2 linked regions of the Lytechinus pictus genome follow. The protein of the gene in region 1 purifies or fractionates together with the protein of each later gene. This does not show direct contact. Links are inferred from orthologs where the notes say so. Each region holds a gene or a part of one and is shown on either strand. Other genes may lie near its edges.

Evidence for each region. The genes of interacting proteins can lie anywhere in the genome.
Region 2: the proteins of serine/arginine-rich splicing factor 5-like (region 1) and ribosomal RNA processing protein 1 homolog A-like purify together in Homo sapiens (affinity purification with mass spectrometry; 3 studies listed by BioGRID and IntAct, with this or other methods). This does not show direct contact. The link is inferred for Lytechinus pictus from reciprocal best matches to the Homo sapiens genes SRSF6 and RRP1B.

The regions. Positions count from the first base shown.
Region 1 is NC_087251.1:24,525,867-24,533,268, forward strand, and holds the start of serine/arginine-rich splicing factor 5-like, read left to right. Parts: upstream 1-4,272; 5' UTR 4,273-4,478; coding exon 4,479-4,607; intron 4,608-6,764; coding exon 6,765-6,893; intron 6,894-7,402. UniProt on the Homo sapiens protein: Plays a role in constitutive splicing and modulates the selection of alternative splice sites. Plays a role in the alternative splicing of MAPT/Tau exon 10. Binds to alternative exons of TNC pre-mRNA and promotes the expression of alternatively spliced TNC.
Region 2 is NC_087252.1:14,096,400-14,103,965, reverse strand, and holds the start of ribosomal RNA processing protein 1 homolog A-like, read left to right. Parts: upstream 1-4,535; 5' UTR 4,536-4,594; intron 4,595-5,651; 5' UTR 5,652-5,722; coding exon 5,723-5,864; intron 5,865-7,566. UniProt on the Homo sapiens protein: Positively regulates DNA damage-induced apoptosis by acting as a transcriptional coactivator of proapoptotic target genes of the transcriptional activator E2F1.

The sequences.
Region 1 (7,402 bases):
TAAAATGCTTGTTAATTCAAAATGATCAAGAAGGAAGCACCGCAACTGGTAAGGCGGATCACTAAACATTCACTTTCAGAACCTCACAGGCCACGAGTTCAAACTTCAGTCCAAGCTAGCTGCAAGAGAGTCGACTTGAATGCTCAGGCCTCACACACCATGCACGATGCATGCATGGCTTCGGATGCTCCGCCATAGGCCGTGGGGCTCGCAGAGCTTCGAGTTGAGCCTAGCTAGCTACATAAGAATGGGCATCCATACTCGCTCGAGATCGATCTCTCGGTAATTTCCGTCAGCCATTCGGGTCGTCGGGCAGAGGCAAAGTAGAGTGGCCTTTCTGCGACAAAAAAAAAAAACTTCCCGGCCTGAAGAAGGTCACACACCCCGGGGTCACACACCGTTATACTGCAATCATTATCCTGGATTTATTAATTATTTTTTAACGGGTAGGATATGAGCAGCAAAAAAGAAAAGGGTCAAAATTTAACTCCTCCAGAAATTGACTAGAAAAAAATCCAAGTCTGAAAACGGCCAACATTTTCTTTTTTTTACAAGGGGGCCAGGGGTGCTCCTTTAAAATACCAAATAGGTACCCCCACCCCCTTTCTCTATACAGTGCATCCCAGAAGAAAAAAACACGAAACCGTAATTTAGTGTAATTTTAGGTTGTCATGATCATAAATTTACTTCATGAGATGTACATAAATGAAAAGATATGATTCTCTTCTTTCTATGTCAACATTCTTATAACGCTCGCGACCGATTGAAACAAGAACGTGATGGCTCACCGGCAAAGTCATGCTGTTACAAAGTTCGTAACTTAAAGGTCAAGTCCATCCCAGTAAAATGTTGATTTGAATAAATAAAGAAAAATAAAACTATAGCGTGCTGAAAATCCCAGTAAAATGTTGATTTGAATAAATAAAGAAAAATCAAACTAGCATGCTGAAAATTTCATCAAAATCGGATATAAAATAAGAAAGTTATGACATTTTAAAGATTCGCTTATAGTTTCACAAAACAGTGATATGCACAATTTAGTGACATGCAATTGAAACAGTCGATGATGTCCTTCACTCACTATTTCTTTTGTTTTTTTATTGTTTGAAGTATACCGTACAATATATCATTTTTTTACAGATTTGACAATAAGGACCAATTAACTTGAATGAACCATAATTATAGACAATGCTAATTCTACATGTTCATCAGGGAGGAATTAATCTTTGTTTCACTTGACAATGAGGAGAAAAGTAGAATATTGCATATTTAATCAAACAAAATACAAAATAAATAGTGAGTGGATGACTTCGTCAGTCTCCTCATTTACAAACCGACCAGGATGTCCATGACTAAATTGTGAAATTAAAGGGGAATCCAACCCAAATAAAAACTTGTTTTTACAAGAAAGAGAAAAATCAGACAAGTTGATAGGTGAAAGTTTGAACAATATTGGACAAACAACAAGAAAGTTATGAATTTTTAAAAGTTGTAAATATTGGTAATCACTATACCCATGGAGACTTCAAATTGGCCGCATATGGGATGTCATAGTGATGTAAGGCAAGGACTACTCTTCTATGTACTCCAATGCATAAAATTTAATTTTTCCCAAAAGTTTTATTTCAAATTATATTTTTCTTTCATGAGGACATAAAACAATATACTACCTGGGTTATATTTAGATTACTGCCCCAGGGGAATGGGTACGTAGGAGAAAACCACAAATCCCTGATAATAAAGTACATGGCCTATGGGAAAGTTGTCCTTGCCCCTTGTCATAATTTACTTACCCAGTTGCCAATTTGAAATCTACATACTATTAGTGATCTCAATTTTAAAGCAGCTATAACTTTCTTATTGCTTGTCCGATTTCTTTCAAACTTTCACCATTCTGTTTAATTTATTTTTCTCCTTCCCAACACAACATTTTATGGCCAAGACTGGATTCCCCTTAAAGGAGAATGAAACCCTTGAACCCAGCTGAATCGATATCAAAGAGAAAAATCAAAGAAACATATTGTTGAAAGTTTGAGGAAGATTGAATGAATAATAAGAAAGTTATGAGCATTTGAATATTGAGATCACTAATGCCATGTAGTTCCTCCCATTGGCAATGCGACCAAGATCTGTGATGTCACACACGTACAACTCCCTCATTACTTTAGTACTTATTTCCTTTATATTCTCACTTTTATAGAGTCTATCACAAGGTGAGGTGTTCTCTTTATGAGAGGACAAGTACAGAGGTTTCACAACATTATATCATTGATGAATCGATTGTCATATGATTAGAATGAGCAAAAAGAAATGTTTTGGGGTATATTTTGCAAAAAGTACAAAATATACATTTAAATAAGATACAAAAACTTCAAAATAAATATGCCAGAATGCTTTTGAAAAAAAGATTATAATACATCACAAATTTCTTTGTTGCAGTCACTGAAGTGGCAATCAGTAGATCAGCGTATAAAATATCAGTATTGTGTTCTTGTATATAAAATAATGAATGATTTAGTTCCAAATTATTTAAAACCTTTAGTATGTAAACGGCCCGTGAAATACAGGACACGGTTTTCTTTACGATGCCCCCTTCAGCTTCCCAAAGCTAGAATTGAACATAAAAGAAAATCTTTCGCATATGTCGGACCCAAATTATTTAATGCACTTCCTTCAAATTTACAAGTTTGTACCTCCTTGTTAGTTTTAAAAAAATTATGCAAAGCCTTTCATACGAATTGATAAAGAGCGAAATGATATTCCATTGATTTACAATGCTATGTATGTTTAAATTGTCACTTCCCACTCTATATTTTGGTGTTAATTGTTTCTGATGTTAGATATTTTTTATTTTGTATTTTTGATGTTGTTTGTTGTTGTTGTTGTTGTTCATGGTTATCTTGACATGTATTTTAAACTGCAGGGCGCCTTTGTAAAGCAGTTTTAAGAACTGAACAGGCCTACCCTGCAGTATAAAATAAATAAAACAAAATAAATAAATAAATAAATAAATATTTTCAGTGTCCAAAAGGGGAGAGTTGTTCATCTGTGACATCATACATCTTGGCCGCATTGCCAATGGGAGGATCTCCATAGCATTAGTGATCTCGACATTCAAATGCTCATAACTCTTCTATTGCTTTAGTCCTATTTTACTCAAACTTTTGTTGATCTTATTCTTTGATTTTTCTGCTTTCACAAAAGCTAACTTGCTCCAAGAGTTTCATTCTCCTTTAAGCAAAACTTTCAAATGTCAATAACTTTCTTATTTTACATTCCTTTTTGATGAAATTTTCAGTGTTATGCTTGTTGTATATTACTCTTTTTATTCAAATCAACTTTTTGTTGGGATGGACTTGTCCTTTTAATATTGATATTTTCTTCTTTCATTTAATGAGATCTTAAATAAAATGACGCGTGTTGCATGTTATTCTCAAATATTTCCCAATTCATTGAGACTTCATCGTATACATGCATTTGAAGCAACCTTATATGCAGTGAAGTGATTTCAACCCGTCAGCACTAGCGTACCTACGGGGGGGGGGGGCAGATTGCCCCCCTGACGAGTCTTGAAGACCTTTTTTTTTTTTTTTTTTTTTTGCTTGTCAAATTTTTTGTCTGGTACGAAATCCTTTATTTGTGGTTGAAGACCTTTTTTTTTTTTTGCTTGTCAATTTTTTTTGGCGGACGAATTTGCCCCGGCCCCCCTGTGGAAAATTCTAGGTACGCAACTGCCCGTCAGTAAGTGAAAGGGGTCAAAGTAGATGAATATAATTTTTTTCTTCTGATTTCTCCTCTTTTTTTGTGTGATGATGTTTGTTTAGAGGTGTTGTGGCCCAGTGGATAAGTCTCCGGGCTTTGAACCACACGGTATCGGGTTCAAATCCCACCACGGCACTCGAGTCCTTTGGCAAGGTGTTTATCTACATTTGCCACTCTGCACCCAGGTGTAGTAAATGGGTAACCAGTAGAAGGATATCGCTTGAATGCTCGAGGTCCGACCAGGGTATAGCTGTGTTATGAAGCCGGGGTAATAGTATGCTGCACTTAGAAACAATTGTATTAAGCATACCATAACATTTTATGGTTCATTCAAGTTGGACCTTGTTGTCTCTGTAAAAATTGAAATATTGTATAATTCAAACAATAAAAAAAATAATAGTGAGTGAGGGACATCATCGATTCTCTCATTTGCATGTGGCTAAATTGTGCATCTAACTATTTTGTGAAATATAAGCGGAAATTTAAATATTATAACTTTTTTCTTATTATACATCCGATTTCGATGAAATTTTTAGCATAATGCTTGTCTGATTTTTCACTTATTGATTCAAATCAACATTATTCTTAGGTGGAATTGACCTTTAATTGTATATATTGAATCTAGTCTCACTACTTCAGACTCTGCATTATGCGAATTGCGAAAATCAAGGGTCTGTGCCTGCAGACTAGTACTAGTCGTATTTTGTACATTACGCATGCGCAATTCAACCATGAAAAAAATAAAGCGTGCGTTCTCTTTTCCGCCATTTTGTGACGAGCCTGGACGGAGCTGTGGGCCAGTTGTGTTGGGAGAGGTTTTTTCTTCGTGTTTTGTTTCAGAAGTCGTAAGTTTTGATGGCTAATATTCCTTTCATATCATGTACTTTTAATTCAAGATTTTTTTAATTCTTTGATTCAACTTTTTAGGAGTAAAAATGTGTGAAAGAGAAAGGTTTTTTAAAATCTTTTTTTTTTATGAGTCTGAGAATTGAGTATTTGAGATGGAGTATGGCATATGCACGTGCCAGTGCAGTGCATATGTGGTGGCGTCGTGAGGTCACATCTATCGCATCGAGTTGTGCGTGTGGAATGATTGGCCACTTGGCATCGAAATTTGGGCAAGACTTCCATATGTCCCCTCCACTGAAATTGAAAAAAAAATATGGAGGTTTATGAAGAATTATCTAACATATATCTAAGAGATTTAAGAAGGAAAAGTTGGATACATACCGTGGCTTTATTGAATATTCTGTCCAAATTTCGAGTGTGTGTAATTCCCAATGTAGTAATGGCATCGTTTTATTTAGTCAGAAAAATAAATACTCTTGGGGAGTAGACTAGTTGTAATATCGGTTGATAACCGTTATGAAACCCATGGCTTTCAACAATTTCTGCTAGCTCAATGAGTAGTAAGGCGACAGACTGGAGTCTGATGCTCGTTCTGCAGCGAGAGGTTCGAATCCAAGTTCCAACTGAAACTGAAAGTGGAAGATGAAGAAAAAATGAAGAAAATAAGAATGAAAGAAGGGGGTTTTGGAGAAGTATTTTTTTTTTAGTGGAGGGGACATAAGGAAGTCTTTCCAAAATTTGGATTGTGCTATACGAGGCCGAGGCCTATTTGACTTTGTGCATGCCATTCACAACCATTAAAGTCTAGATAACTTGGTTAAAGTGATTGGTTAACATTGGTTTGACTTTTAAAAATCTGAGCTAGAAGGTCACACTTGTCACCTGTGTCTGTGATATGTTATAAAAATGAAGCCCAGAAAAAATTTCGTTCGAAAATAATTATTTAGTGCTTCAAAAATTGAAATATAAAGTGACTGAAAACACCATCTATCTTAATTTCTTCCCATACACTTATGTGTACTATTTAGGCGTCTGTAAGACGCCTTTTTACAAAATCGGGGTTTGCCTTGTAGTTTTAGCATTCTCAATAATGGTTGTTTTCAGGGTTTATTAGTTCTAATACATGCACTTGTACACTTGTTTCATCTTGGTTTGAGAATTTTTTAAATCGGCTGCTCACAAAGTTAAACAATACCTTTAACTCACTTAGAGTAAAGTGTCCAAATATCGGAAACTTTATAAGGTTAAGCATAATTGGACCAAAACAAAAATACAATCATTGAATGGTATAAAAATCATGTTTATTTCTATCCTTGAGGACTCCCTGATGATATTTTTAAATATTATGACATATACTTCATCACGGAGCCTTGAAACTCTTCCCGTAGACGCATAAGCGAGACCTACAAACCCGGATGGATTTCCCTAGGAAATCCATATTTAGACGGTGAAATTGGTTTGTATGTATTTATTTTATTTATCTATGAACCTTCATATATGCCTAATGCATATGAAGGGATAAGAATTATTTCACTATGAATGTGAAATATGAGGTATCTTACCAGACCGATCCGTTTGTCAACAAAGCAAATACAATAGGCTTGACCCTTGAACCGCTTCGTTATGACGTACCTTTGATTAGCGATGTTACAAAATGCTGTTTTGAAGAACAATTTATAGATAAACATTATTTAACAAATAATAAAATTTAATACTTCATTACAAATTATTATTATTATAAGTATAATTCATTTTTACTTGTACCATAAGCATTAACCCAGAGGCTGGGGTACCAATGGGGTACCAAAAACACCCCAAATAAAAAAAAGAAATCATTCACCCACCTCAATTCTACTGATGTTTGTCTAACTGACTGTAGGCTCCTAACATTGAAGCAGTAGGTAGACCTTGGGGAAAAAATGCACTGGCATCCGTTTCCTCCCTTTCAAAATGCTCACGAAATGGCCAACCAATACAGATGCGCGAATTCTTAGCGTTCGAAAGATCTGCAGCAGCTTACCCATTTGTTCACATAATTTTAGTTTTTAACTTCAGTCTATATAAAGATTCGTAATTTTGATTTCGTTAAAGACTGAAGTTAAGGACTAAAATTAATTAACTAATTTATCTGTCTCACATTAATTCCTTTCTAGATAATGTCAAGTGGAAGAGTCTATGTTGGAAGGTTGAGCTACCAAGCTCGAGAGAGGGATGTTGAAAGGTTTTTCAGAGGTTTTGGTAGAATACGTGAAATCAATCTAAAAAATGGCTTTGGGTTTGTGGTGAGTATTGCCATATTTTCATGCTATGAAAGATCCTGAAGCATTCTCATTTACAGATTTATTGGTTACAGCTGATAATTTTTCTGGTATCACATTGCTATTAGCTCTCCATTTTTTCATCACTTTACAAAATATTGTTGGAAGATACAACCAGAAATGCTAATCAAATTTTGAGGAGGAAAATTATTCCCTGGTGAGAAATGCATGCTTTGGGTTGAGATATTAATTTTACTTGTTGCTCTGATTTTTATACTTTGAATAAAATGGGTAAACCATTGCAAAAGCATGAATCAAGTACTCTTAATGTGATAAAAATGATTATTGGCCCGTTCTCTGTATAATACACACTAAATTGGTTGTCAAGAATTATCAGTTTTTCAGTCAAATTCTTTAAAAAAAAATATATTCTGCATTTTGTTGCATTTACACTCTTAATGGTGCATGAGTTGTGTAAAAGTGAGTTGTTTTACAGTTTGAGCCATGTTTGCTGACAAACTTCATTGAAACAT
Region 2 (7,566 bases), on another chromosome or scaffold:
CTTGACGAGGCAGACCCCGAGTGCCATCATGGCAATACATATATTGGCATAGGTTAAAATGATGACATGAACAGGATGAAAAAAATATAAATACAAATGTCCTAACCCCCCCCCCATCCCCCATCGGGAACTGGAAGCCAGTGTAACAATATATAAATTATCAAAATACACTTTAAGAATATTTATGAGTCATATGATGATATAATGTGTTTTTTTAGCTTACGTTTAAAAGAATAAAGCGAAGAACATTTTTTAATTTCACAAGGCAGCGAGTGCCAAACATCAGGTCCTCTATGTCTAATGGATTTATAAGCAAGTACTGTTTTGGGATTACTAAGATGAAAATTGTTAGAACCTCTGGTATTGTGTTCATGAACCTGGTTATTGCGTATAAACATTGAATTAAAATTGCTTGGAACCAAGTGATTAGTATAATTGAACATAAAATTTGCAGTTTGTAAGATATTGATATCAGATATTTTTAATATGTTCAGTTTTTTGAAAATTGGATCAGTATGGGCTAAGTAAGGAGAACCTGTGCAAATTCTTATGGCTCTTTTCTGCAGTAGCAATAAGGAATTAACATTTCTTTTGGTTCCACAACCCCACGCAATATTAGCATAAGATAAATAAGATAATATAAAAGAATTGTACAATAGTATAATAGACTTTGGCATTAACGTATCTTTAAGTTTAAACATTATACCAATAAATCTAGAAATATGAGTTCTTAGATGCTGAAAATGCAAATTCCAATTTAAATGTTGATCGAGAACAACGCCAAGAAATTTAACATTAGTTTTCCTTTCAATTAGGGTATTGTCTATTAAGATTTGGCACTGGTCTTCCATAATCTTTTTTATTGGGTTGTGAAATATAATATAATTGGTTTTACTGAGGTTTAGAGATAACTTATTACATTGTAGCCAGTTGGTTAGTTTACGTAATTCTACATTGATAGTGACGATCATTTTATTAAAATCATGATGGGAATATAACAGTGTCGTATCATCTGCAAATAACACATAGCTAAGCATTTTGGAAGAATTTACAATGTCGTTCATATATATTATAAAAAGAAGCGGCCCAAGAATGGATCCTTGTGGGACGCCACACTGGAGTTCTAAAATTTGTGATACATTTAAGTCGACCTCAGTGTATTGAATTCTGTTCTTTAAATAATCTTTGAACCATGCAAGAGGCGTACCCCTTATACCATATAACGTTCAAGTTTATGTATTAATATTGAATGATCAAGCGTGTCGAACGCTTTTGAAAGGTCCAAAAATAATCCAGTTATATATTGTTTTTTTGCAAGGGATTTGGTTATTCTATCATATAAGTCCAAAACTGCTAATTCAGTTGAATGTTGTCTCCTAAAACCATATTGGGCGGTGCAAAGTAATTTGTTTTTGTCTAAAAAAATATATACCTGGATATGGATTATTCTTTCTAAGATTTTAGATAAAGAGGGTAAGATAGATATAGGTCGGTAATTTTCACATTGGATACGATTTCCCTTTTTGAATATTGGTACGACCCGTGCTAATTTGAAAGAATTCGGATAGCATCCAAGAGACAATGATAAGTTGAAAATATGACATAGTGGTTCAGCTATAAAAAAGATTATTTGTTTTAAGATAAGTGAGTTAATATCGTCATGACCACAAGTTTTGGTATTTTTAAGGGATTTTACTATGGATATAACTTCGTGTGGTCTTACGGGTTTGAAAAATATCGAGTTTTCAGCTCGATCAGGTAAAAAATCTTTAAAAGAGTGCTCATTAGTTATAAAAGTTTTTGATAACGTTGGCCCTATGTTTACAAAATATTTGTTTAAGATGTTTACAATTTTCTGTGGGTCACGTGTCTTTTCTTTTTCAGAGTACATTTCTTTTGTGAATTCTGTTCTTTTGCCCCTACCTAAGATATTGTTTAAGATGGACCAGGTAGCAGACATATTTCCCGATACTCTTTTAAGTTTATTTGTATAATACATTTTGCGTGATGCTCTAATAACGGCTGTTAGTTTGTTACGATAAGCCTTAAATATGTTATGTTGGACGGTATTGCTAGGATTGCGTATATACAACTTATATAATCGGTTCTTTTTTCGGATAGAATTCATTATCGCATTAGTAATCCAGGGATTATGAATATTATTTTTTCTTTTCTTTTTGAGCAAACAAGGTATATTTTTATCATAATATTCCTTAAATTTTTGAAGAAAAAGTTCATATGCTATGTTCACGTCATGTGTTTCTTGAAATACATCTGACCAAGTTTCTATTATAAGGTCGATTTTAAGGGAGTTTATATTTTCGATTGAATATTGTCTATTAAAATATTCATTAGATTCACATCGTTTCCCTTGTGTTTTTCTTGATATTGTAAAAATAGGAAGGTGATCTGATATATCAGAATATAAAATACCACTTTGGAAATCTTCTCTTACAACATTTGTGAAAATGTTATCTAAAAGCGTTGCGGATGCCGGGGATACTCTGGTAGGCTTATCTATTAATGGATAGAGGGCGTAACTATTCAGAAACGACATGAATGTATTATAAGTCTGGTCGTTTTTTGTAAGTAAGTTTACATTAAAGTCGCCCATTAGATAAATATGTTTACCACCTTTCGAAAAATTACTGATACATGATTCTAATTGAAGAGTGAATGATTCAATATTCGTACCGGGTGGACGATACGCTACACCTACAATTACATTTTTACATTTGACATTGGTAATTTCTACAAAAAGCATCTCAAAGTCTGGTGATTCGGACAGAGGGGTCGTTAATTGAAAGGAAATATCTTCTTTTACATATAATACTACGCCTCCTCCACGTCCGTGTAATCTGTCCGACCGTAACATCTGATAACCTTCTAAATTGAATAAAGAAGGAGAATTAGGGTTTAACCATGATTCACTTACTCCAATGATGGATAGCGAATTGTTCAGGGATTTAAGTAGATTAGATACACTGTCAAAGTTGCGACTTAAACTCCGGGCATTTAAATGTAGTAAGCTGAAATAAGACTTGTTGTTATTATGACAGGAATTAAACTCATCGGGTAAATAATAGTGGCATTCATTAGATTTGAGTTCTTCTTCAGAAAAAGACATGTTTAAAGACTCAACCATCTAAGGATTTACATTGTTCGTTTATGCAGTACACTACTATCGTTAAGACACTGGCATTGATATCTAAAGACATGTTCTTAAAGTGGAAATGGCAATTGTTACAATATGACTTTGAGAGACTAAATACGCAGGAAAAACATATACAAAAGCCCATTAAAGATCTAATATAGAATATGTACACACTATAAGCAAAGATCTAAACAATATAATGGTGTATAATAATGAAATAGAATATAAAAGTATAAAACAATTACTATATATTATTTAGCGCATAAACAATTCGGATAATCTGGAGGAAAATTCGTCAATTTTAGGTTTGCCTTCAGCAAATATATAGACACATGATAATATAATAATGTAAGTATGCATATATCAATGGTATGTTGATAGGCATTGGATACAGACAGTAATTTAACCCATAAATTTATCGGGTTGAAGTTGTATTGAGACATACAAAGAGTTATTCAAATGCAGAATATAAAATTACAATCTTTATGATTATGTATACTAGTATATATATATATTAATGTTGAGTTACAATACAATGTGGTTTGATTTAAACAACAGTTTCGTAAATATTATAGAAGGGTATTTAATATAACACAGTTTTTCAGGATCTACTAAAATTGCCCATATGGAATAGACAAACTGTAGCGTTAATAGAGTTTATAAGGCAAGAAGGTCACTTTCTCTGAAGATTTGTTTCTTCATTGAAGTGTTAGGATCTGTCGTTTTAACCGAGGCGATAATACGGCCATCACTTGTCCATGCCGCGTTTACATTTTTGTGTTGGCTTGTCTTCTTGAGGAGTTTGAGGGTTGTCAGTGTCAAATCTTCTTGAATAGAAATTCCACTCCCTTTCAATGTCTTTTTCGCTTTCATAAATTGCGTCTTCTGTTTGTAGGAACACAATTTAACGATGATGGGTTTAGCCTTGGTTGGATCTTTTTGACCTACTCGATGGGATCGATCGATGTGGTGTTTTTTCAACTTGAACCCAAGCTGATCCTTGGCAATGTCAATTGCTATTTGATCGGTATCTTCACCTATTTTCTCTTTCACACCAAAAATTCTAATGCTGTTTCTCCTTGTATACTGCTCGAGAATATTCAATTGGCGCTCCACGTCTTCTCTTTTCTCGATTTCATTCTGTAGCTGTTTCTCCAGAATATATGTTTCTTTCTCTTTACTCTCCAAAGAATTTTGAAGTTGAATGATGGCTGATTCATTTTCTTCTATGTGGCGACGCATGTTTTCACATTGAACATTCACTACTTTATCCATTGTTTCTTTACAGACACTACAGTCTCCAGTGTTTTCATGAATTCTTTTGTTTTGAGTAATTTAGTGAGAATTGTTTGAAGGTGATAATCATCATTAGGTGAATGTTCAGACATATCAATCGTAACAGTGTCATCAGCTATATCACATTCAGAATCATTTGGATTGGTATGTTTCACCTTTTTCTTGCTTTTAGGGGTGCGCTTCACTCTGGCGCCATCCCCCTTACCCGCCATGATCGGACACCGAAGCGAACGTAAGGCTTAGGCGGGAACAGTATACACACGGATATATGTGACGATCAAAAGTACATATGGGACTGAGAGAATATATATAGTTACGTTCAAATGCTGATCGTTCGGCAATGCAGATTTGCTGTTTCTCCCTCCAGATCAGTCCAATAACGAAAATTTTGTGGCAATTACATCACGAAAACATAGGTGTTTACAATCACAATTAAGTCAAGTCATAAAAAATAGAAAAGAAATCAGTATCTTCTTGCAAATCTTGGCAATAATCTCAGGACGCCAAGACCACGTCACATCACGTCTATCTATCCGCTGTCTATTTCTTTTTGCCAAAATAAGAAAAAATCAATCAAGTTTAGTTATTCAAATCCATAACAACAACAAGAATAACATGAAAAAAACATCCGATGTTCATATCCGAAGATACGCTTTAGAGAGAAATGAATGATTATTCTTTTTGAAACCATTAATTGATTTCAATTATTAAAAAATTGTTAAAATATGATCATATTACCACTGGTGGGATGGAACACCCTATTAACAAAAGTTGTTTTTCGTCGGGGTCCTTTTATGTCATGTGTTAAAAAATATCATATACATAAACATTTCATTCATTTTCATCTTGAACCTCCACCCATCTGTTAAGTCCTGGAAAAGAATGTTTTTATTTAATAACAATATACACAAATTGCGAGGGAAACAAAAGGATTGATGGCATACTATAATCATCACTATAATCATCGATCATGATCAAACTTTTCATTTTTTCATCATCATTATTATAAATTTTCTACCCTAAATTATTGGGGGGGGGGGGATGATAATACAGGCCATCCCCCCCACTTGAAATATTGGGGGGGATATATCCCCCCATCCCCCCCGTGATCGACACCCATGTCTGTTATGATGTTATCAGCAAATCATTACACTTCTTCTCTTTTTTCTTCTACTAAAAAAAATAAAATTATGAATACTAGTATGCGAAAACCGAAGGTCTGTACCCGAAGACTACACCCATGCTCCTGTAATGTAAACTACGTGATCAAAGATGGCAGCGCCATGTGGACAATCGCCGCACAGCGTCGAAATTCATTTTGCTCAGAGACTTGCTTCAAATGAAAAGAAAATACGTGACAGGGCAATCAAACGATTGAGACACTGGATAGCTGCAAGATCTCAAAAGGATGGCAGTAAGTATGGGGTACTGTTGGAGAATTTCAACGAATCAGCTTGCATTAATTTTTTTTGCACGGTCCCATTCGTTCGTTTTCGTGGGAGGTCTTGTTGCCCCAAATAAATAAGAGTATAAAGACGTGCCAGGACACTTAGATCTAGGCCTAAGCATAATCATGAGCTAGACCAGGGGCAGCGGAACTGGGGGTGGGAAAGGGGGGGGGGGGGCAAGTGCCCCCCAAAATATTCCCTGTAGACTGTAGTAGGAAAAAATTCCCTTTTTGTAGCAATGTAGGTATGTGCGAATACGGGCGCATCGCGAGCGCTGGTTTTGGCTGCACGGTTTTCGCGCGGGTTTCGCTGCAAGTGGCATCGCCTCTGTCTGGGAGGCTCATCAAAAATGGGGTTTCATGCGCATGCGCACATAGTTGATGCAATCTCGTGCCTTGATACAGACAGTTGAAAATGTGCTCTTTCTGTACATATAAGTTTCAATGTGGATACTCGCCTGTGATTTGAAGTGTGGATATCGGAGCTTGAAAGTTCATCAAATTTTTGGATGCGCAAATGATCGAAATTTTTTAATGGTAAGTAGAACTACGATCCAATTATGTATCTGAATTGTTATAGAATATATTCAAATCAACAAAAAAATTAAAATTAAATTAAAAGATTCTATCGTTGAGCTGTCCAGATATAAGAGAAGCGAGCTACCCTTGTCACAGCCGGTCTCTTGGCAGTCGAGCTACCCGATGCGGTGGGCTCCCTTGAACCTTGAAGGAATAATCCCTTAAGCAGCTCTTCCAAGCTAAACTGGGATGGGATGTGCTGTGAGTGTGACAGAAGGTGATGGTGCAGACAATTTTGTTGGAATTCTATTTACAATAAAATTGGTGAAGTGCAAGTAAAAATCATGCTCCTAGTGCTTACAGCATCCTGGAACCTACATGAGGCTTTAACCCTCTGATGACAGGAAGGGCAGCCCCCCGGAAGACAGCAACTGATGGGGCAGTAACTGCTTTAGCTGGTAGATGGTTCCAGATACGAATGGTACGGGGATAATATGAAAATTTGTATGCATCAATCGTTGCTTGTGGTACAGAGAGTTTTAGCATATGATCTCTTCTACTGATGTATGGAGCCTGGGTTATGAAGTGTGGAAGCTGGATATTCACAAACTGGTGGTATATCTGATAGAGCATGGTGCTTTGTGCAAGGATACGACGTGTGTGCAGCTGGTCCCATCCCAAATTTGAGACAAGTCCTGAGGCTGATGTAGATTTTCTATAGTCGCGGGTCACAAAGCGAGCAGCTGTTTTCTGTACCCTTTCCAGGCTTGCAGCCGTAGTAGAGGTGTGGGGATTCCAGGCTTCAGCACCATACTCAAGCTGCGGTCGAACCAAGGCCATATACGCATTTGATTTGGCCTTTTCAGAACAAGGTGAGAGAGTTCTTCTCAGCAACCCAAGGGTTTTGCTGGCCTTGTTCGCAATAAGTTGACAGTGCGTATTCCATCGGAGGTCTTTGGAGATGGTGACTCCGAGGTATTTGTATTGGTCGACCTTTGCTATTACCTCATTGGAAAGCCTGTAGTTGTGTTGTATGGGAGCTCGCTTCCTAGTAATGGTAAGGGAAGCACACTTCTTGACATTAAAAGCCATAAGCCACTTTGCTGACCAATCTGATAGGGTTTGAAGATCTTGCTGCAGGATGGAGACA